3 linked regions of the Alligator mississippiensis genome follow. Each later gene encodes a partner of the first gene's protein in a complex. Links are inferred from orthologs where the notes say so. Each region holds a gene or a part of one and is shown on either strand. Other genes may lie near its edges.

Region 1 (7,338 bases):
TATCACTTGAAATACCCTTCTGTTTAAGGGAGATTATTCATTAAAAGCAATTTTCCAACTGAGTGTATACCCACCTCATCTAGGCATAATTCCTTAGCCTGCCTGTAAGAATGTCAAATGGGATAGTATCAAAAGCCTTGTTAAAAACTTAAGATAAAAAGATACTAGATACAATTATTTAATATAAACTGGATGTACAAGTTAAAATTATAACCAGAGACTATCAAATTATATAGTATTGTCTTTATTCTTAGTGTAGTCAGTCATTCTCAAGATTTTTATGTTTCACAAAGCTGCTATTATAGTTCTATAAAATGTAATTAGTTAACCTATTTCTGTTTTTTTTTAAAAAAGTGTACTGAAAGATACGGTCAAGTTAAAATTTATATTTTTACCATGGTAAAAATACTTTCAAGGATTAGTAAATGTTTACTTTTCAATATTTTTATTTTGCATTTATGCCAGTCTATACAATGAAGTCAAATAAGTCAACTAGTTTCACTTTTGTCTACAATCACTCCATTCTCACATCTTAGGCAAACAATGTAAAGATGTGTCGCAATGCTCATCAAATACCACAGGAAGACTTTGTTTTGAAAATATTCCAGAAGCTTTAAACACACAGCTTAAAGAAGAAAAGCAACACGTTTTCCCTTTTTTTTTTCTTGAAAAATAACTGTATGCTGAATTTGACCCGAGAATTTAACCTCTTTACATCCTGTTAATTTGTGACATTTGCAACAAAGGAAAACTAGGCTCTATTGTCAACCTTTGTACTCTGATTGCTGCAGACTGAGTTCATAGACCATTTTACAGCCTAATAACTTCAGCTAAACAAAGAGAAATTAGATCACATCACAGAAAGTTATTTTCCTTCCTGACCTACCCAAGGCACCAATTTTAAAATTATGACATACACATACGCTCCATGGTCAGAAACAAAAGGGCTGCTGCATACCAGCAACAGCACGTAAACTACGCGAGAGGTAGAAAACACCCTTTCATTTAATCTGTGCTGTCCATTAATTTAGCCACAACAAAGTTTTACAGGTTTCTGGTATTATAGGACTTACTGCTTAGGAATGCATCTGTCATATAGCATGTAAACATTAATGATACCCAAGACATGCTGGGCACTGAACTTCAGGCAATGACTGAGTAAGCATAAGGCAAAGAACCTTCACACAAAACCTTTCCCTGCTTGACAATTATTTAAAAATGAAGTGCTTAGAAATTAAGTTTTCAATGGGATTAAAAAAAAAAAAAATTATACTCCCCAACCCCCACAGTAGCATCTTCAGCTCCTGAAGGGGAGACAACAAACCACTGAAAACTCGTGCAACTTTAGCATTAACATAGGCTGATGTTATCTGTGCGAGGGGAAGGTTCTCCCAAAGCACCGTAGCAAGGAATTGTCATCTTAGATGACACTGGGTGAGTCTACACGCACGCTTTAATGTGCAGTAGTTTATTTTATTGCACATTAAAGTGCCATGTACAAAAAAGTGCAATAACACTAATGCGCAGTAAAATAGACAACTGCATTAAATATCACTTTAAAAATGTCTGCTTTCGATACAGTGCCTCTGGTTAGCCTAACACGCATTTATTTAGTACCTCACATTGGAGGTACGGTACTAAATTTAATGCGCATTAGGAAAAGCGAATTAACGCACACACAGACGCTCCAGCAGCATCATGGAGAAGTTGTCGTCTTTTAGATGACAAAGAGTCAGAGAGAAGCAGGGCTGGAAGGGACCTCCAGAGGTCATCTAGTCCAATGGTTCGCAACCTTTTTTGTACCAGGATCCATTTGTTAACACCGATATCCAGTCCCAACCCAGTGCCCCTCACTCCCAACCCAGTGCTCCCCTGCCCCCAGGTCCCAGCTCCCCCAGTGTGTGGGGGAGGGGGATGTGGGGGTAAGGGGTGCCCCAAGCAGCCCCTTGCAGGGTGAAACTCTGCCAACCTGCAAGGGAAAAGCCAGTTTCCCCCGATTTTCTCCTTGAAAGAAGAATCCTTTTTGAAAGTATGTTGATCCATTATTCTTGTGACCCATTTTTGGGTCGTGACCCACAGGTTGAGAAACTCAGGCTGATCATCTCACCCCTGCCTGAGGCAGGCAGCCCTGCCCAGAGCATCCCACACAAGCCATCACCCGAACGCCACAGAAGGCTGCTGTCAAGGCAGGCAAGGGTCCCCAGATAGATGCGGTCTCTTTTATTAGACAGACCAACTCCAAAGTCGGAAAAAGGTTCTTTACAAGCTTTGCCAACTTTCAGGCTTGCAAAGAACCGTTTTTCCAGCTTTGGAGTTGGTCTAATAAAAGAGATCACATCTACCCAAGCAACCATGCCTGCCTCTGCCCTTAAGACCCAGGAGACTACAACCAACAACCCTGCTGTCAAGGCAGGCAGGATACCCGCCTCGAGCAGTAAGGAAGTTCTGATGATGATAATTACTACTAGTATTATTAATTAAATACGTGTTATGAAATTAATTATCATCGTCCCACTTATCTAGCAGAGGAGGAGGTGGTGAACAGTCACCGGAGGGCGGCTTCCGGGGGTCCCCAGGGAGGCCCTGCACCCCTGAGCCCCGCGCCTGCCGCTCGGCCCCGCGGGCACGGGGAGGAGGGCGGGCGGGCCGCGGGGCAGGGCAGGGTAGGGCAGGGCACGAGGCCCCCCCCCGGCGGGGCGAGGGCAGCAGCGCCCGACTCGGTGCAAGCGCCCCTGCCGTGGCCGGGCGCGGGAGCCCCCAAGGGGCAGAGCGGGGCTCGGGCCAGGCGGCACTTCCCCGGGCTGCCCCCGCCGGCCCCCGGGGAAAGGAGCGGAGGCGGCGCCGCTTCTGGCCCAGCCAAACCCGCGGGGCTGTCACAGCCGCTGCCCTGCCGCCCCGGCCCCGCGGCAGCCCGCGCTGCGCTGCGCTGCGCTGCGCCGCGGCCCAGGGGGTGGACGGGGAGGGGAGGGGAGAGGAGAAGAGAGGAAGGGGCGCGGGCGCAGTTACCGCCGGGCGCTGCTGAGCTCCGTGTCCGGCGGGCGCTGCTGCTCCACGGGCCAGGCGCACGTCAGCGCCGGCTGCGAGCGGGGCGGGGCGGGGCGGGGCGGGGGGCGGTGCTGCGGCCCGGCCCCGCCCCGGAAGCGCCGCCGGCAGGAGAGGGGCGGCCGGCACCAGCGGCCGGCCCGAGGCGGGGGCGAGCGGGCGGGTTCCCGCGGTTAGGGCTGGGCGTGACAGGCGGGGGGAGGGGGAGCGCGTATGCGTGCGCGACAGGTCCACAGGTGTGCAGTTCACGAGGTGCGTGTGTGCAGACAAGGATCTCTGGGTGAATCTGGTATCTTTTATTACACCAACACGTACGTGTGTGTAACAGGTTCAGGAGTGGGGGCTGTGAGACAGGTTGGGGGGTGTAAGAGGGAGACAAGGTGCTTTGGGTGAGTCTGATATCTTTTATTCGGCCAACTTAAATAGCTGGAAAAAAAAACAATTGTAGCAAGCTTTCCGGTTTAAAAAACCCTTGGTCAGGCTGGGGAAGGCTCTGCAGTTGGTGGCTGGGATGAATAGTAAAGAATTGCATCCACCCAGGAAAAGCAACACTGACTGCAGAGGTTTCCCCAGCCTGACCAAGGGTTTTTAAACCAGAAAGCTTGCTAAAAAAAAATTTCCAGCTATTTAAGTTGGTCTAATAAATGATATCAGATTCACCCAAAGAACCTTGCTTGACTCTGTCCTTAGACCAACAGGGCTACAACCTGCACCCCTGAGAGAGAGAGAGAAAGAGAGAGGTTCAGGTGTGTGAGATTCAGGAGTGCAGGCGTGTGTGCCAAGTTCAGGAGAGGTGTCCAAGGTGGGGGGGGGGGGGTGGTGCACACACATCACATGTAGGTGTGTGTGCACCAGATTCGGGGGGGGAGGGTGGCTGTGTCAAGTTCAGGTGTGTTTGCAGGTGCATGTCAAGTTCAGAGCATGTCACATCCCAGGGGCTCAGATGTGCATGCAAACTCAAGGGGGCACGTGTTCAGTTTTGGGCAGAAAGCACCCAGGTCTCTTCAAACCCACATTTTGCCACTATTGCCCTTCATTGGATGCTCCCGGATGCCTTCATATGGTGTTTAAAACTAATTCCAGGTTTTTTCCAGTGACAGTTCTGAGTTCCTAGACCAGGGGAGTGTGATACCGGCCATTTCAAATATTGCCTTTCAGGACAGTAGTTAATCCTGATTTCTGTTTGCAGAACATACACCCAGATAAGGATTATTTTTATGTTGGGGAGGGGGGAATGTGAATGGCAAACTGTGTTATATTTAGCATGTGCTGACTAGTTAAAAAGCCTCATGGAAATAGGCTACATCCTGGCAGGAAATGGTCAACCAAACATATTTAATGTATACAAATTACTCGGTTCTTCCTGAGGGATTTTTTTTCCCTATACAAATAAAGACTCTGAAATTTAGAGTGGCTGAACTTTGGGGTGCATCATCCTAAAGCAGGAAAAAAAAGTTAGCAGTTATCACCATTTTTAGAAGGAAGTATTTAGAGAAACTCCTGAGAGACCTGCTGAGCTTCACCTGACCATATCATTTGTATTACCTAAATTTATATTAACCTTGGAACAAATTATTTTAAAATAACTCATAAATATTCCTTTGTCTTTGGTCCTTGGTCTTTGTGTCCTTATGGATATTCAATGTATTTGTCATTTTCAGGGACAATTTTATTTAACTTGGAGGTAAACACATTTCTTAAAATTGTTGTGGGCAATGACTGCAGCTTGGAATGGAAATACTTCACTTCCTCTTTGTGAACTTTACAAGAGATGACTAAATCAAGGGCTGTTACCTTTTAAACAGATAAACATTGTGATAGATTACACTTGTGAAAAGATGTTGTGCATCCAAATGTTTGCTGTAACACTGCAGAGAATTTCTTCAAGACCTCAGGTTCCACTTCCTGGTTAAAAAGAATATATCTGTCTTATACTTTTCTCTTGGGGAGCTCTAAAAAAAATCCAGGATACAGTTTGTTCTCCAGCTGTGTCCGCCAACTTCTCATAAGAAAGCAATTTAGAGGAAAATGAACACCAAAGTTAAAACGTGGATGTAAGAATTATTCTTGGTATTTTTCTGTGACTTGGAATAAAATACATGATGAAATGTATGGTAGACAACATTCTTTGGGTAAATCCAGTATCTTTTATTAGACCAACTAAAAATGATGAAATGTATTTCACTTTTACCTTTTCTGTACACAAGGAACCAACAGCAAGAGACATCTCAAACTTCATCTATAAAAGAGATGAACCAAAGCTAGAGAGTCTGAATCATGTTAAGCTTTTCCAAAACTATGGATAAGGGCAGGATGGCCAATTTGGGATTTTAGGTCAGGTCTATTTTTACTTTACAGTCATTTTAGGAAATAAATTTTCATCAGCGAGACTGAACTTAATGGCCATCTAAGCAGGAATAATATATGCATTGTAGCAGTCCCAATGACTGTACCATACCATGACTATATTCTTCCTATTAAGTAAAGCACATTCTGTTTTCCATGCAAAAGAAGAAATCCAAAAAAGTACATTTGGTACAGATGGAAAATGTAGACATAACTCTTTCAAAAAAGTCTCCAGAATTTACTGTTTGCTAAAAATAATCTATCATGTGGAGCAAGAAGTACATCAGTGCTGTCCCAGCTTCTTGGAAAATAAAGCACATCAAAATCCTTCAAGGATCCTAAGAGCACAGTACCAAAGCCAGGAGAACCATGAGGGAGGACAACTATAGATTTTGTGAGATCTTATCACTGTTCATCTGAATGTGTGTGTTGTATTATAGTGTTGGTTTATTGCTATTGTCCACTCCATGTGCATGGGACTGGATTCCTCTGCCCAACAGCGTCCATCAAGGCTGCGTCTGCACAACAGATTATCTTTGACCTAGTCCCTGTACTGGAGGGTTTAAGCATAGAGTGGACCCAACTGTCCTTCATGTCTTTTTCCAACAGAATTTCAAAGGATTAGGACTAGGTAGTAGTGAGGAACATGGGTGAGACGTGGAATCCATGTGCACAACACATCTTGTCAAATCTTTTTCTCTTTGGGTGATTACCTAGCATGATGCCATCTCGGGTGATTGTGGGCCAGTGGACACCAAGGATGAAATTCTACTACATTTTGTGTGCCTGACTGGCAGTTTTCTAGCCATAGAAGTAGCCTTTTTAGCACTTAGGTACAGGTTGTTATTTTCTTACCTTGCACTGTGGGTGCTGAGGCTAGAAATATGAAGTCGCCAAATGAAGTGGATGAGTTGTGCTGGCATGTGTCCTGGCACTACTGATCCACTTCATTGGGTGAGACATACATCACCCATTGTCCCACTTGTTGATGCTGTGGGACAATGGGTGACGTGTTCTCCCAGGACTTGAGGAGCCTGGTCCTACATACTTCAGGAATTCCCATGCAGAATTGGGCCCCTGAGGCCCCGCGTATGTCTGCTTTCCCGCCTACAGGATGCTTCCCCGCCTACAGAGACATGGCCCCAATATTTCCCAGGGGCACATCTCTGTAAAGGAAACCCAACTTTCCCTGGCTAGGGAGGTGTACCCCAGAGATCCTGGGGCCAGGTCCCTGTAAGAGAGGAAAGCCAGGCAGGCATTCCCAGGGCTTGAGGGACCTGATCCCATGCAGGAATTCTTGGGGGGCACAGGAGCTGGTCCCTCAAACTCACAGAGCGCTCGCCCAGGTCATTTAGGATGTGCAGGCAGTCTCCTGCCACAAATCAGACTCCAGCAATAAAGAGGCATACATTAATACCGCCTTGCTGCAGCCATAAATTTTGGGCATTTGTGGCACAGCAAAGGGTTTAATGTCTGTTTGCTTGGCCTTTGGGCAGACATCAACATTTTTATGGAGATACAAGTGTAACAAAAAGCAAAATCTGTTTCCACTCATAGGTACTCACTTTTATTAGACTGAACATATGCTGTAGGTTACATATTGGCTGGCAGGTATGCACCTGTGTATGCAAACCTTTTCTGGACACGTAAGCCACAAAAATGTAACTGTCCAGAGCCCATAATTATAAATGGAATAGCAGAGTGCCTAGGGTGCTCACCCAGGAAGCAGGAGACCTGGGTGATGGGTCCCCATCACCCAGAGAGGGTTTGAACTTTCATCTCTGATTTCTCAGCAGTGCCCTAACCACCTCAGGTTAGGTGTTATCCGGTTGCATCCCCAGTGGTCCTTTTGAAGTTCGCCCCCTGAGCAGCCAAGAAAGGAAGATAGTGTGGGCCAGAAGAGAACAAGCCAGAGGGTGTGTAACTCAAGGCAATGACTGTTGCACCAGC
Region 2 (7,416 bases), on another chromosome or scaffold:
TTCAGAGGCTGCAGACAGCCTGAAACCGTGGCTTTAAATTGGTCAAGACTTTGGGGCTCCACTGTGGAGTTGGGGTCTGTATCCAGAGCACTGATCTGCCATGAGACTCTGGGGAAGCCACTCTCTGTGCCTTGGGTCCACTCATCTGTCAGGTGAGGTTAATAATATTTATTCTTGTCACAAGAATTTTGCTAGGCAGAACTCCAAAGAGGGAAAGCACTCCCATGAATGGTTCCTTGCTGTATCCCCATCACTTCTGATAACTCACAACCAGGTGCAGCCCACCTTCTTCCTTACTGTCTACGAGGCTTCCACTCTTGTGGGCTCTCATAACCCTTCTTCTCCATCTGACGCATGCAAGGCACTGCCAACACTGGGCTCTCCTCTCCGATTCTTCCGTTACCAGCCCTGACTACTCTGACCTCTTCCCCTTTGTTGCTGGCGGTCAGCTGCAAACCGTTTTTTCCATCATGAGCAGAGAGAAGCTGCTTACAATCTGGGTACTCTTCTGATCAAAATATCTAGGGGTAGGGAAGGGAGTGGAAACCACCAGCATCTAGAAGCGAGTAAAAAAAGCAAACCAGACCAAATTCCATTCACTCCAGGAAGCAACGGCCATTTACACTAGAAGCATCTGTGAGAACGCTCCTCCACTAAACAGAGCCTGTCTGCATGGATGAAACAAATACAAAAATAAAAATCACACACACCTTTTCATCCCTGAAGGAACATGCCCTTATACGATTAAGCCAAACTGATCCTTTCCCCCCACATTAATGGGTTGCAAGCTGCATGCCCAGCTGCTGCCCATCCTCCCAGTGTCCAGCACTGCTCTATTAATATAGCTTGTGTCATTCTTTGGTCTCTTTGAAATGAGTCGCACTCACAAAAAAATGAATGTGGGGGCAGGGAGAACAACACTTTTGAGGTGTAAAAACATGACAACTGCCTGGGTGCTCAACACTAGCAATATGAGTGCATGCCTGGGGACATGTGCACAGTTCCAAATATGCTTCACAGCACAGACTTCTCCCCCACTGGGAGAGGATGAGACCAAACCTATGACTAATGTTAGTCATGTTGCTACTAGATGGCATTCAGATATTACAGTAATGAGGTCTGAGTAAGAAGCTGATTAGGACAGAACGTCATGGCAAGGCAGGACTAGGAAGCCCACTGGAAACTTTTGGTTGGTTAGGAAGATGGGTAACAGAGGGTTTTGGTCACTGGGGAAAGCCGAGAAGAGAAGAGAAGAGAAGAGAAGAGAAGAGAAGAGAAGAGAGAAAAGGGCTGGTGGGGAACAGCTGTAAAGGAGGAATGTACACAAATGCTCTATGGGGAAAGGAACACAGGTGGTCCATGTGTACAGGAGAGGCTGCCGGTCGACGATTTCTGTGATGAACATGCACTCTGCTTGTCGTTGGTTCAGTTATCCAGTGGCTTCAGACAGTCAATGTCTGCAAGAGGCAATCTGACCCAAAACACTGTGGAACAGAAAGGCTGAGAGAGAGAGAGAGGACCAGCAATCAAGGCAGCTGTCAGAAAGACAAAGTCTCTGAAAACCTAATTCCTATTTCACACACACACACACGATATGTAGAAAGACCATACATAGAGAACCATAGGAGAAAATAGTACCTAACCCCTTTTAAAACTTCCTGGGAGCACCCCGCTCCCTGCCCCGTCTCTCCTACCCTTTTTTGTATTTCAGCTCCAAAACAATTTTCCATTCTTGTCTACAGTTTCTTTGTGCCCCTTCTCTTTAGAGCAGTACCTCCCCGCTCTTCTCTCAGGTTAAATGACTAATATGACGACAGGGAACGTTGTTCTCTAAAGTTGTGCAAGGTCTCGGATTAGGCCCAATCATGCTCCCTCCACGTTTTTGGGCTTAACTGGTAGCTCTGACTCCCTGCCTTACTACAGCCTTCATGGGGCAGGGGATAATGAGGGGTCATCTTCCTAAAAAAACCCAACATGGTGGTAAATCCACCCTGCAATAAAACAAACCCCCAATCCTGCAAAAAGCTGAGGCAGGTGCCTAGCGCTGGTAGCAGAAATCAATCCTGGCCAGAAGCTGTGCAGCGCAGGGCCATGGCATCTGCATTATAACGCTGATCTGTGCCAAACCGATGACACGACGGACACATGTCCAGTCTGGCCCGATTTCCCTGGGTTTTGCAGAAGCTTCCCTGCCTAAGGGGTAACTCTGTGAGGAGCTGCTGGAGGCAGGGGGCACTAGCAGGGGAGACAGCGCTCTGGGGAAGGGTTTCTGTTGCCAGGGCTGGGGGGATACATGGCACTGCTCCAATGCCAGGCAATGGATACGCCACCCACCTCTGCGCCCAGCAGCTGGTTCTGGATCTGCAAGAAGCCAATGCCTTGGGGGTAGCCTAAAACCTAGAAGCAAGAGTGCAGGGCCCTGCTCCATACTGAGAGCGAGGTGCAGCCTGCACCCAAGGGTACCCACCCCACCTCCCTTCCTCCAGGGACACCCCATGCCTCCCCAGCCAATCAGGGAGCAGCTTCTGGCCAAAGAAAGCCAGGGGGAGGGACGGATGTCAAGCAGGCAATTACTGCCCCGCCTGCCCGCAGGGGGCGGGGCTCAGGTCGCGGCACCTTTAATGCGGGAAACTTTCTCCGCCGCCCGCGACCCCCTCGCGTAGGGATTAGCTGGGAGGGCGGCCGCCACGGTTCCACGTCTCTGGCCCCTCCCTATTGGTGGCAGAGCGCCGTCAATCAAAGCACCGTCACTTCCCCATTGGCTGAAGTCGCGTCAACCCCGCCTTAAAGAGGGAGTAAGTCCCACCCCACTCCCCCTACCACGCACCTACTCGGCGGCTAGCGCGGTCACTTTCTGGGGGAGGGGGCGGGGTCGGGGTCGGGCCGGCTAGTGGACGAGTCCAAATGTCAAGGACGTCGTGGGGGGGGGGGGGGCTTGGGGGCCACACTCACCGATGCGCTGCCCCACGGGGGAGCTGAACGGGTTTCCCAGGAGAAACTCCATCGCGGCCGCCGCGCACCTCGGCAGTCAGCTGACCGCCAGCGCCCGTCACGTGAGCGTCGCGGGGTGGAGCTGAGGGCCCGGCCACCTGTGACGTCAGCGGCGGCCGCTTGTGATTGGCTGGAGGGCGAGACCCCGGTTGAGTACGTTCTCCGCTCGCCTTAAGCGGAGTGGTGACGCCACTGCGCCTGCCGTGACGTCACAGGCGCGTGGCACTTCCCGGCTCCCTGTATGGACAGGGAGGGGCCTGATGGGGCGGGGGAGGGGGGACATTTCCTTACGCTCTGCAGGCTCCCTTAGTGGGCCTGGCAACAGATGGCAGCCTGCAGGGGGCGGCCCTGACTGGCTAGCCCAGAGGGCTGGGGGGCATGGTGAGCACCCAATCTCAGGGGGTGCATATGCACCCCTACGCATCCTGCATGGCTAAAAGTGTTCAAAATGTATTTATTTGCACATATCTAGTTGGCCTAATAAAAGATACCACCTCTTCCACGAGTTTTGATTCCTTTTGCCTCTAGACCAATAGGGCTACGACTGGGATACCTGACAAAATGTGCAATAGCTTTTGATGCAGTTAATTGATGCAGCATCTATAAAACGCAAGTCACTCTCCGGTAGGGTTGCCAACCCTCCAGGATTGCTCTGGAGTCCCCAGGAATTGGACACGAATCTCCAGGAGACTGCTGAGAGTCACCCAGGAGATAAATGATAGGGCATTCGTTAAAGTGTTGAATCCAATTTATACAGTGGGATTTTAAAATGTACTAGTCATGTGCATTTGCCTTCCTGATGTAAAATCTACACACTGTAATCCATAACTGACATACACAAGCATGCGGGCAAATGCGTGTTGTGTTGTGGGCATGTTGGTGTTCCAAAAGCCTCCCAGAATAGATCCAAACTGTTGGCAACCCTGCTCTCAGGGAATCTTAACCAACTTCTGGGTTCATGCTCAGCAATTGCTTATGCCTGCTTGCCTCAAAACTTCAATTTTGATGACCCAGTTCTCACTCACTGGGGACTTCCAGTGAGCAATATGAAGTAACTGCAGAACAATTTACAATACATAGACCTGAAACACAAAACAGAGAGAAAAGACTAATCATAGCAATCAATTCAGTTTAACCAGTTGGAGAAAGAGTTAAACAAAATGTCATAGTGTCAAGTGCAGTGCAGGATGCAATGATACCAGTATAAGGCAGGAGTGGGCAAAATGCGGCCCGGGAGCCAGATGTGGCCTGCCAGGCCATTCTATCCAACCCGTGGGGCCCCTAAAAAATTTAGAAAATTAATATTAATCTGCCCTAGGCTGCCTGTCATGCAGCCCTCGATTGCCTGCCAAAACTCAGTAAGTGGCCCTCTGCCCAAAATAACCGCTTGCCCCTGGTATAAGGCAACATGATGTTACTTAGTTGTATACTTAAATTTTTTCAGTGTATGACAGTTTTTCTGAAAATACAATCATTTTGAGCTTCCAATACAATATTTTCATATTTAAGACCTGGTAACACTGTTCCCAGGAGACAGATGGCAGAGAGAAGTAAAGCTGAAAAGGATCTTAAGAGATCATCTAGTCTAGCAGTTTGCAACCCCCAGCACGTGCCAGAGCACAGCACGCAAAGCCATTTTGTTCAGCTGGCCCCAGCTCTGGGCAGGCCTCTACTGTGGAGCCCAAGCTGCTTGCAGAGTCTGGTCCTTGAGCCACAGAGTCAACTACAGTCAGCGCAGGCCTTTCAGCAGCTGAGAGGAGGCTGCAGGCTAGGATTCCTCTCCTCCTTTTCCTTCCCCCACTCCCTCTCTTCCATCGAAACAGACTAGTGCTTGGTTGAGGCTGAGGAGTCAGTTGACAGTCAGCTCCAGTTGACAGTCAGCTGGGGCTCTTGATGTCAGCATCTATTTGCTTAGGGTGTGCCTTCAATGTGTCATCATAGCCTTTTCTCTGGCCACTGGGAAATCTCAGGCAAGAGAGGATATGGCCTTTACACCCCTTCCCACCATGGCCCACATTATTGGTAGTACCATCCCCCACCACCACACCTCCTTAGCAGTACCAGTTGTCACCTCTACTTGCGAATCCTTGGCAGGAAGGGACCAGGGACAAAAAAAACCCTCTCTCTCTAGCAATTCTTCCATAGGAGAAATACTGCAAGTTGCAACAACACCAGTAAGAACTTCCAGAAAATGTGCCCCTTGCTGTAATGTTGCACATGTAATAGGTCTGTTAAGAGCACCAAGGCCATTACCAAGTACCAATCCTCATTTTGACAAAGCTGCCTACTCCAAATGGCAAAGTCCAATTCCACATTGCTTCCATTTGTGCAGATTGTGTTAGCTCACGCTGCAGCCTCTGTAAGATGGACTGAACACTGGTTCTTCTGCCTCTGTGATTAGCCTGGCTTGTTAGCTCTGTTGTGGTCACAATAGTGGGGATAGGGACAGCTGAAAAAGCAATGGAAAAGCTACCATTTTTGCAATGGCGACTGCACTAGCAAGCCTAAGACCCCCACTTCCATGGTTTCAAATAAGCTGATACCATGTCTAAGTAGTAAACAAGCATGTTGCATGAGGTGAGCCTGAAATGGGGCCTGAAAGTCTGTAGTCCTTACAATGAAGAATTCCAGGAAAACTACTGCTTAAATGTGTTGAAATGGTTGTGGGTAGGTGTTTCCTGGTTATAACGTTATTTTCCTTTGAACTTGTGTTGAAATGTCTCCTTACAAAAAGTGCAACTTGAGTTGGTGAGGAATCACATTTTGCATGATCATCATATATTGGGACATTGCTACACAGAAGTTTTGAGCCTATAACTGAGTCTCTCTGCTCTTGAAAATAGGGTGTTTTGAAAGAGTATTACAAGATGTGATCCTGCCATTGCTGAGGGATCCTGAAACACTTGTATCATTTTGCCTGCCATTCACTGAATGGTAAACAAGGAGAGGGGCAGGCAGATAACCTGGTACTAGGGCATTTAAGTGACAACCCTCTGTAGTCATGCAGGTCTTTTACTGAGGCTGCTAAATGGTACAACTCAGTAATCTCCAAGTTGTATTTCAAGCAGCCTTTCATTAGAAATAAGACACTGAAGTACCCAGCCAAGAACCACAGGATGGGTCTAGATTTCAAATACCAGAGACATTTCATTCCATAAAACGAAATGCTAGGACAGCTAGAGTAGTGAGGGAAGTGACAACCAGCAAATTACAAATACCAAGCAAAAAAATAAATGACACAAAACTCCAAATGTTAAAAAAAATTATATTGTAAGTACAGTACAAAAAGTTTCTTTATACAATTGTAATGCAATCTGGATCAAATGGCAGGAAAATAACAAAAATATAAAAACTGCTAGTTCTCAGTCCAAAGTTTTTCCCTCTAGTACCAAATACCACAAGATACAGATTATACAAATGTGTACAAATTTTAAATAAAAATACAATACATTAGGGTTGTGTGTGTGTTTCTAAACTCTTCAAGAGTTTACTGTTATACAGATGGTAAAGCTAAAGCTGATCCCCTTCTGTTCCTTAGATAGAGATCTGCAAATCTTTTTCTTTGATACAATACTCCATCTCTTGTGGAGAGCTGGAAATGGAGCCAAGCATTTTATGCCACTTGCAAGAACCATGGTAAATGTCCAGATCCAGAAGCCAGACAGACTTTCCCATATCTCCAAGCTCCCTCAAATTCTGCTTCAAATTAGCCATATCTGGGTGAGAGATTTCTGCCTTATACTGAGGTTCTGAAAGAGTCCTGTTCCATCCACCAAACCAGCCCTTCTGATAGACAAATAAAAGCAACACTGAACTGGGAAAAGGGGAAGCTCTGCAAGAGACAGTAGCTGGGAAGGAAACTGGCAGGAAGCCCCTTCCAGGCACCTGAAGATTGGCTTTAAAATGAAATAGATTTAGGTCTCAGCAATAATGAGGAACAGCTCATTTTCAGCTGCCCTGGAAAAGAGAGAAAGCACAATTTGTAACAGCACAGAAGTGCTCTGATTCTGCTACTTTAACATCTGTAATGTTATAATGGAGGGCGAGGCCAAAGCCAAAATAAAAGGCTTCCCATTTCAGCTTCCACCCAACATCACTGGACACCCTGTTGGCCACAAGGGCTCAAAGTTTTGTTGGCTGCTATTCCCCCTTGCAGAGCCTAGCTTTGCCATAACAGATGCAGCTTATTCCTGCAGGAACTAGGGATGGGCACAGCTGATTCATATTTTCCACACACTTGGTGGAGGGAAGGACTTTTGTTTTTAAATTATATCTATATACACAGAAATATACAGGATAAATTAAAATCTATTACAGATATTGGTAAAAGTTAAATACACAATATGGACACCACGCACACATACACACAAGCCTATGTGAGAATCAAGTGCTTTCCTGCAACTCACATTGGAGGAGCAGGAGCTT
Region 3 (7,282 bases), on another chromosome or scaffold:
CTCTTCACTACATAAACTGGTAACCCATGTTGGGCACATGCAACAAAAATTTAGATAAATAGATTTCTTTAAAACAGTTATTTAAAGATCTTTATCCTGCTTTGGTATACAAAAACTCATGCAATGTAGCATTATTTATGTATGACGCAGTTCAAAAAGGTTAAAGGTTTTAAAAAAAAAAGTAAATCCTTAAATCCCCTGATGCAGAGCTTCAGGATTTGGGAGGTAAACAGGGTTCAGGAGGCCATCTGCCTGCATTTAGTTAGCTAGCTTTGTCATGTTAAATACAAGATACTTAATAAATGCACTGGAACCAAATTTAACTCCAACAACATTTTATAAAGTTTTATCCTAGAACTAGGAGATTATAAGCTTCCCCCCACCCTTTGGGGAAGAGAAGACGACAACCACACTGCTTCAGAAGACAGAGACATCACAACGAACTGCAACTATCCAGCTGAAAGCCTGTGCTTTTCTGAAGCACAATGGGATTATTTTAAGAGGAAAACCCTGATAACAAAGGTCTTACAAAATTGCATTATGTATTAAAACAGGTTGCTGGTATATATAAATATTAAGTGAAGAGCTTAGGTGGAAATTTACAGTCAAGGAGATTACCATACATGAAGCTAAGACATGCATGTGTGCCGTTTAATTTTGAAGAGCAACTAAGGTGACCATAAGACATTTACTGTATCTGAGTGATCTACCAATTAAGACTATGAACACCATACAAAACAATGAGAACTAGCTTTGGATATTAAGCCAAATTAGTTTTGCAAAGTTTAGAATTAGGTAAGGATCCACAGTTAGGCAGCCACACTACAGAGCAAGGGCTGATTGAGCTGGTTTCAGAACTGTCCCACTGCAAAAGAAGGCCATATCACAGGTGACATACTGGGGCATTCCCCCCTGCCCGCCTGCCACCAGAGGACTTTATTGTAAGAAAAACAAAACAAAAACAAAGAAGCTACACACACAAAAAAAAAGCCACAACCAAAACATACACCCCCCCACCTCGAGCTTGGTTTAAAAAGTTCAATTCAGTCAGCATCTGCTGCTCTTTATGAAGCCAGTCAGTAATTGGTATCAGTACAGGATGGGTTTCTGATAAGCTATCAGGTCCAAACAAAAAACTAAGGAAGTTACTCCCCCATAAGACATCTCTCTAATTATGCAAGCAATATTCTGGACTAGCAACTCCATACATAGCTATGAACTTTGAGACTGAAGGATTACACCATGCTTACTGGAAAAGCAGCCTTTGAGGACAAGACGATCACCACTGAATTTTAGATCTGGGAGCTTCAGATTGTTGCCATCTACCTCTTCACCCTTGCAGCATTCTGCAAGACACTTCAGTTTAGGGACCACAACTCCCATTTGCAAACTTTTTTCAGTAGAAGATTGATCTTTCCTTCCAACTTGAAATACGTGCAGAAGAGATGAGGCATCTTGAACCTACACCTCAAAATGAAGTGTTCGGCAAGACAGAAGCTATTCAAAACTTAGTTATGGTAACAAGCAGCAGGTTCTCTGGAATGCTGGGGAGCAGCGAGGACGACCAAACCGACAGGCTTAGCCAGGATCAAAATGAAATGCAAGTGCATGTTCCAAACAGTTCATCAAGTACTCGGATTGACAGAACTCAGTCAAGAGGAACATCCCTCATATAGAGAAGCTGTAAGCATAGCTATAGTGTTATCGGGTGTTTCTGCCTAAAAAGTTGGAAAAAAAATGTTCTTTGCAAACATCTAGTTGGCCTAATAAAAAAAATAATCACATCTAACCAAAGAACCTTGCCTGCCTATGTCCTTAGGCCAACATGGCTATAGCCAACAACATTGAAACTTCACATCATTTTTAAGGCTGCTTTGATTACAGGTCAATTTCTAGACATAACAACAGGCTGAATATTTTCTCTTAGCACCTGCCTTAAAGAAGAATGGAATGTGTTTGGCAAAGTTGGGGGGGGGGGGAGGGGAGATGAAGAAGATGAAGTTTGCTAAAGACAGTGACTAAAGCCTCCACAGAAGAGCATTAGCCCGATTGCCAGCATGTTTTAATGAAATATCCCCACCACAGCCTTCAGTCTCATCTCCAGTGAGCCTAGATACAACAGGAGACGATTTGGTGCCACTTTGCGGGGCTCAGCTTTGGTTTAGCCCTCAGAGTGAAGCCACCAGCTTTAGGCATGCTCCACAGGAGCAGACTTGCAAGTCCTACAACTCAGAGGAGTCTTACAAGATTATTTCAGTTACTCAACTCTGAAGGAAGCAAGGCCAGAATCAAAGTCTCAAAACAGGGTATTATTGCTCTAAACTCCAGCTTTAAGCAGGAAAAAAAAAAAAAAAAAAAAAAAAAAGAGAGAGAGACAGTGAAAGGACAACTGCACCCCCATATACCCATCTTTCATCCTACAAAGCTCGAGCTTGGGCCTGGCTGGATGCAAACAGTCACCAGACATCAAAACAAGGTCTGGAACAGAACAAGGCAAGAGCCCGGAGGCAGAGAGGGGTCCCAAGCGGCAGTGCCTGGCTCCCAGGTCAGAACAAGGGCAACGGATCCTGCGAGAAGCGAGCGAGGACGTGTTTGTACCAAACAAGAGCCGGCGAGAGCGCTCAGGAATCCGACGCGTGCCGGCGGCCGGGCAGGGTGGGGGCGCGACCCGCTTCCACAAGCCTCCCCTCCTCCCCCGGCCGGGCGTACCTGGGCCGGGCCCGTCGGGGCCCTGCAGGCCGGTGGGCACGTCGCCATTCTCCAGGACGCTGTAGCCCTCGTCGTTCTCGATGCCCGCGATCTCGTTCTCCTGCTGCGCCAGGAAGGCGGCGGCCGGGTCTTCCTCGGCGGCGCCCAGCGGCCCGTTGCCCAGACCGGGGCCGTCGCCCCCCAAGCCGGGGGCGGGAGGCTGCGGGGCGAGCGGCGCGCTGAACAGGTCGAACTCAGCCATGGCGGCGAAGCGGGGCGCGAGCGGGAGGCAACGGATGGCACGCGAGCAAAGCCCACTTCCGGTCCCAGGCCGCGTCCCCGGCTTGCCCGGAAATGCCGCTGGGCACGGGCGCGGCGAGAGCTGACGGGGATGACCACCAATGAACGTGAAGCCATGCGGGCCAGCGCAGCCAATCAGAGCGAGGAGGGAGGCGGGGACAGCGGGGTCCTCATGTGACACCACCCCCCCACTGGGGGAGCAGGGATGAGTCAGGGTGGGATGAGGCCAATCAGCGCGCTCCGCTCCGTTCCATTCCCCCTCCCCTCCCCTCCCCTCCCCTCCCGTGCGGTGGTGTCTGGGCCCGGGGGCTACGTGGGAGTCCCAGGGGCGGCCGGGTCCGGGCTGGGGCCTTGTGCTGCCGCGACCCCGGTCAGAGGTTTCCAGGCCTGAGCTTGGGCCCCAGCACTGCTCTCAAACCAGCCCAGGTCCTGGGACAGGAGCAGCACCCTCTCCTGGGGTGACCTCCGCGTGTCTCCCTCCTCCCGTTGCCGGCAGCACAGGCCCAGATTGGGGGACGGCAGTAAGCATTACCTCGGACTGATCACAACATGGTGATGCTGACTGGGATCTAAATAAAACAAGTGCACTATCAGTGGTTCTCAACCTTTTTAGGCTCCAGGCAGCCCTCCAAAACCTGCCCGAATTTGCAGAACCCCATTTAAAAAAACTAACGCTGTATTATGAATGTTAACGGCATCCGGCTATTAATAATTCATGTTATTAATATTGAACCCTGGGAACATAAGGGACAGTCCGAGGACCAGATGCTGGGCTGTGCTCAGAGCATGTGGGGAGCACTGGGGAGGCGAGAGGGGAAGGAGGTGGACAAAAACACACACAAGGCCAGGGTGGGGAAGGGGGCAGGCCACCGGGGTACCACAGTGCTGTCACTGCCACCCTTGCCCTGGCCAGGTGGAACTGCACTGTGCGCCTCTTGGAGAGCCAGATTGGGAAGCAGCTGTGGCAGGAGCATGTGCTGCCTGGTCAGACCTTGCATGGTGTCTCCTGGAAAGAGGTGTCTGGGGCAAATGAAACTGTCCCCCGCACCTGTTTTCAGGAAGCACGTTGGAGCTGAACTGAGACACAGCTGCACCAGAAAGGTGCACCTTCGTGTATTACATTGTGGGGGCCTGTACACCACTTCTGTTACAGCTCTTCCTGATCCCAACATGCTTCCTGAAAACCAAGGCATGCCGGCCAGTTTCACCCTGCAGTGGTGGCACCAGCAGTGCCAGCTTCACAGCACCATGGGCAACTTCTTGTGGCATCCCAGCTGAAAGCCACGGTCTTAGTCACTTCTTTTTGGGTGGGTTTAAAGGTTACCTTTAAACTATTCTCAAGGCACTTAAAATGGGAATACTCATGCATGAAAGGGTGTTAACCTATTCTATAAGCATTTTAAACGTTACCAGTTGGGATGAGGGTTATTTTTGAGCTGTTCGACCCAGATGGAGATAAGGTGTTAGGCTGCTCCATAGAGATAAAGCCATCAATTTGTAGTCTTCCAGCATCTCAGGAAGCACAGCTCCCAGCATCTTTACCCCTTTCCACCTTCCAAACCTCCGCTGGTCTCCCAGCTGGCAGTTCTGCACTGGGGGTGGAGGTGCCAGGAGGTAACTGCAGTGAGACTAGGGCCCGGGGAAACATGCCTCCCTGTATTCCGTGTTTTCTCCCTACAGCAGCTCTGCTCCTTGCTGCTGGGGCTTATCTCTGGTGCCAGGGAAGCATGACTCCCTGGACCCACGCTATCGAGCTTCCTTCCCGTATTCTTCTTTACTTGGGTCAAGACTTGGAGGGGGCTTGAGGAAAGCTGTCCCCCCACTCTACTCCCACTACCTGACTGGCTAAGAGAGAACAGGGGAAAAGGGCCAGGTAGGTGTGGGAAAATTTCAACTGACCTCAAGTAAACTGAGCTTAATTGAAATTTTCCCACACTTTGTGTCCAGTTTAAAGGCACAGGCAGGCCTGAGCAAAGCTTGGAGCATGGGTGGGCAAAATGCGGCCCACGGGCCAGATACAGCCCACCAGGCCATTCTATCTGGCCCGTGGGACCCCTAAAAAATTTAGAAAATTAATAATTATCTGCCCCGGGCTGCCTGTCATGCAGCCCTCGATGGCTTGCCCAAACTCAATAAGCGGCCCTCCGCCCAAAATAATTGCCCACCCATGGCTTGGAGGGATGGGGATGGGGTTAGGGACTGAAGTCCGGTTTTGTAGAGCTCTTTGCAAACAGCTGGCCTGGAGCCAGTCACCTAAGCTCACTGACTTGGTGCACACCAGCTCCCTCCCTCCTAGGTTGTGACGGGACCATAGAGGACTTGGGGAGAAGGGAGAGAAGCTTGGGCCCATCTAAACTCTCCCACCTGGGATGGAACTGGGGGGCTCAGCAGGGCTTGTTGTAGGCACCTGGGGCTTGCCAGGACAATCCTCCCAGCCAGGATGGGAAGATATGACCCCTCATGTCTCAGCAACCCTGCTCCCAGGCTGCATGACCCCACTCCACCCAACTCAATCTGCCCCCCCCCCCCCCGCTTTCCCCAGAGAAGGCTAGCATAGGGCCAGCTGGCTGGGCTGAGCCAGGGAACTCCCGGGGGACCAGCCCTTTCCACCACCCACGGTTCATTAACACATGAAAACATCTTTATTTTTTTAGTTTGTTTCAACTAAAAATGCTTTAAATAATTACATAATGCTTTACATAATCTTAAAGGTTTTAAGGAGACCAAGGTGGTCTGATGCAGAGGGGTCTCCTTCCCTCCTTCCTTGCTATACCAGCCCCCTCCCTTCCCCACTGGCACCACAACCCATGGCTGTGCCTCCCCTCCACCACACCACTCAGTCCCCCCTCCCCACCACTGCCAGCTGGCCACTTCATCATGCCTCAGTTTCCCTGGCCCCACAAGCCCCACACGTGCTCTGCGTCATGCAGCAAGCATGCTTGTTCTCAGCCCTATGCCCTGGCTATGCCTTCCCCGCACAGCCCGCCCAAGCCAGGACAGTTCCTCCATCTCATGCAGCATGAAACTTGCCACCCCTAACCCAACTCCCCACCACCACCACTTGACCCAATCCCAATTCATTGACACATGCAAGATTTAGGGTTTTTTTTATTATTATTCTTTTTCGCTTCTTCCTCTTTACTTCTCCCCTTTCCTTTCATTTCCAACAGTTTTTCAATATTTCTTTCCTCCCACTCATGGTTCCAGCTTGGTTCCTGCTGCTGTGGAGGGAGGGAAGCCACAGCCCCCATGCTAGTTTCCAAGCTACATGCCACCCTCCCGCTTTGTCTCACACCCAATAAAGAGTCCATGCCCTTGGTCATCAGGCCCTTTAGTGGCAAGTCACATTTGTGCGTGTCTGCGATGTCATTAAGCTTGAACCTGTGGCTGCTCTGAAACTACTCTTACTTTAAGATGACCTAACATTCCAGATTCAGAATGGCTTAAATATAACCTGTAACAGCACCCTTAGTTAAGTGACACAAAGCACTTACCAGCTTCCGGTCTCTCCATCTCTCTTCTGTTTCCCCGCTACCCCTCCTTGCTGGCTCAGTGCCACAGTGTGTTTCTGTGGAAGTGACTGCAACATCACATTATGAACTGAAATGAGGAGTCAGCTTCAGGAAAAGAATTCTTAAGAATATTAGCAGAGAATAGGAAAGGAGAAATGTGAAATATAAGCAGAATTGGCTAAAATAGGATCCTAGCCATAGGATACTACTGAGTCTCTGAATAGCTTTCAAATTCAGAATGCAGAACAATTTCTACATCATTTACATCAGAATGGGTCAAATTAATCCCTGGTATAAAAACTGACTCTTCAAGGAAGGTTGAGAAGAAACTTCTTATGTAATGATTTGGCATGTTCCCTGGGTGGAAAGATATGACTTGAGTAATCTAGAATTCAGGTGCACCTTGAAATGTTTTGCATAACAACCAAGGTATCCTTCCCAAAGATAAGTGATTCCATTTCCTTTGCTGATGTTGGTTTTATTGTTTATGAAGCTGTAACAGCTGTGGCAGGTGTGTTAATTCATCCATAACACACTGGCTATACTTCACACCAAGGGGGAAACTTTGTAAAGACTGGTTAGAGTAATACTTATTAACAGAAACCAGTGGCGTAAAAGGCAGAGTTGCTGCCTTGGCAAAACCTGGGAGGAAGTGGAGGGGAAGGGAAGAAAGGGAAGGGGAGACAAGTGGTTTCAAGAGCAGGGGCAAAAGGATATGGGTTTTGAGAAGGGGATGGAGGGCTGTGAGTTCCAGGGGGGTACGCATTCTAAGAATGGGGGGA

Evidence for each region.
Region 2: the proteins of MYO6 (region 1) and TOM1 are in contact, whole or in part, in a crystal structure (PDB 6J56), measured with the Homo sapiens proteins. The link is inferred for Alligator mississippiensis from reciprocal best matches to the Homo sapiens genes MYO6 and TOM1. Residues at the interface, in NP_001355794.1 of Homo sapiens: Ile1182, Phe1184, Trp1202, Gln1214, Glu1216, His1218, Asp1220, Lys1221, Pro1222, Ile1224, Leu1226, Glu1234, Met1235, Cys1236, Leu1238, Glu1242, Thr1243, Gly1244, Leu1245, Arg1247; in NP_005479.1 of Homo sapiens: Ser440, Glu441, Phe443, Phe446, Leu447, Arg450, Ala451, Ala453, Ala454, Asp455, Leu457, Pro458, Asn459, Leu460, Ser461.
Region 3: the proteins of MYO6 (region 1) and CLTA are in contact, whole or in part, in an NMR structure (PDB 6E5N), measured with the Homo sapiens proteins. The link is inferred for Alligator mississippiensis from reciprocal best matches to the Homo sapiens genes MYO6 and CLTA. Residues at the interface, in NP_001355794.1 of Homo sapiens: Met1053, Thr1054, Pro1055, Met1058, Ala1059, Met1062, Ser1087, Trp1089, Lys1090, Tyr1091, Glu1113, Arg1117, Leu1118, Val1120, Tyr1121, Trp1124, Asn1128; in NP_009027.1 of Homo sapiens: Glu47, Asn48, Glu50, Ala51, Phe52, Ile54, Leu55, Asp56, Gly57, Gly58, Ala59, Pro60, Gly61.

What each region holds. Positions count from the first base shown.
Region 1 is NC_081824.1:65,992,809-66,000,146, reverse strand, and holds the start of MYO6 (unconventional myosin-VI), read right to left. Parts: upstream 3,103-7,338; 5' UTR 3,007-3,102; intron 1-3,006. UniProt on the Homo sapiens protein: Myosins are actin-based motor molecules with ATPase activity. Unconventional myosins serve in intracellular movements. Myosin 6 is a reverse-direction motor protein that moves towards the minus-end of actin filaments.
Region 2 is NC_081827.1:101,669,581-101,676,996, forward strand, and holds the start of TOM1 (target of Myb1 membrane trafficking protein), read right to left. Parts: upstream 3,063-7,416; 5' UTR 3,005-3,062; coding exon 2,953-3,004; intron 1-2,952.
Region 3 is NC_081826.1:150,237,812-150,245,093, reverse strand, and holds the start of CLTA (clathrin light chain A), read right to left. Parts: upstream 3,040-7,282; 5' UTR 2,951-3,039; coding exon 2,710-2,950; intron 1-2,709. UniProt on the Homo sapiens protein: Clathrin is the major protein of the polyhedral coat of coated pits and vesicles.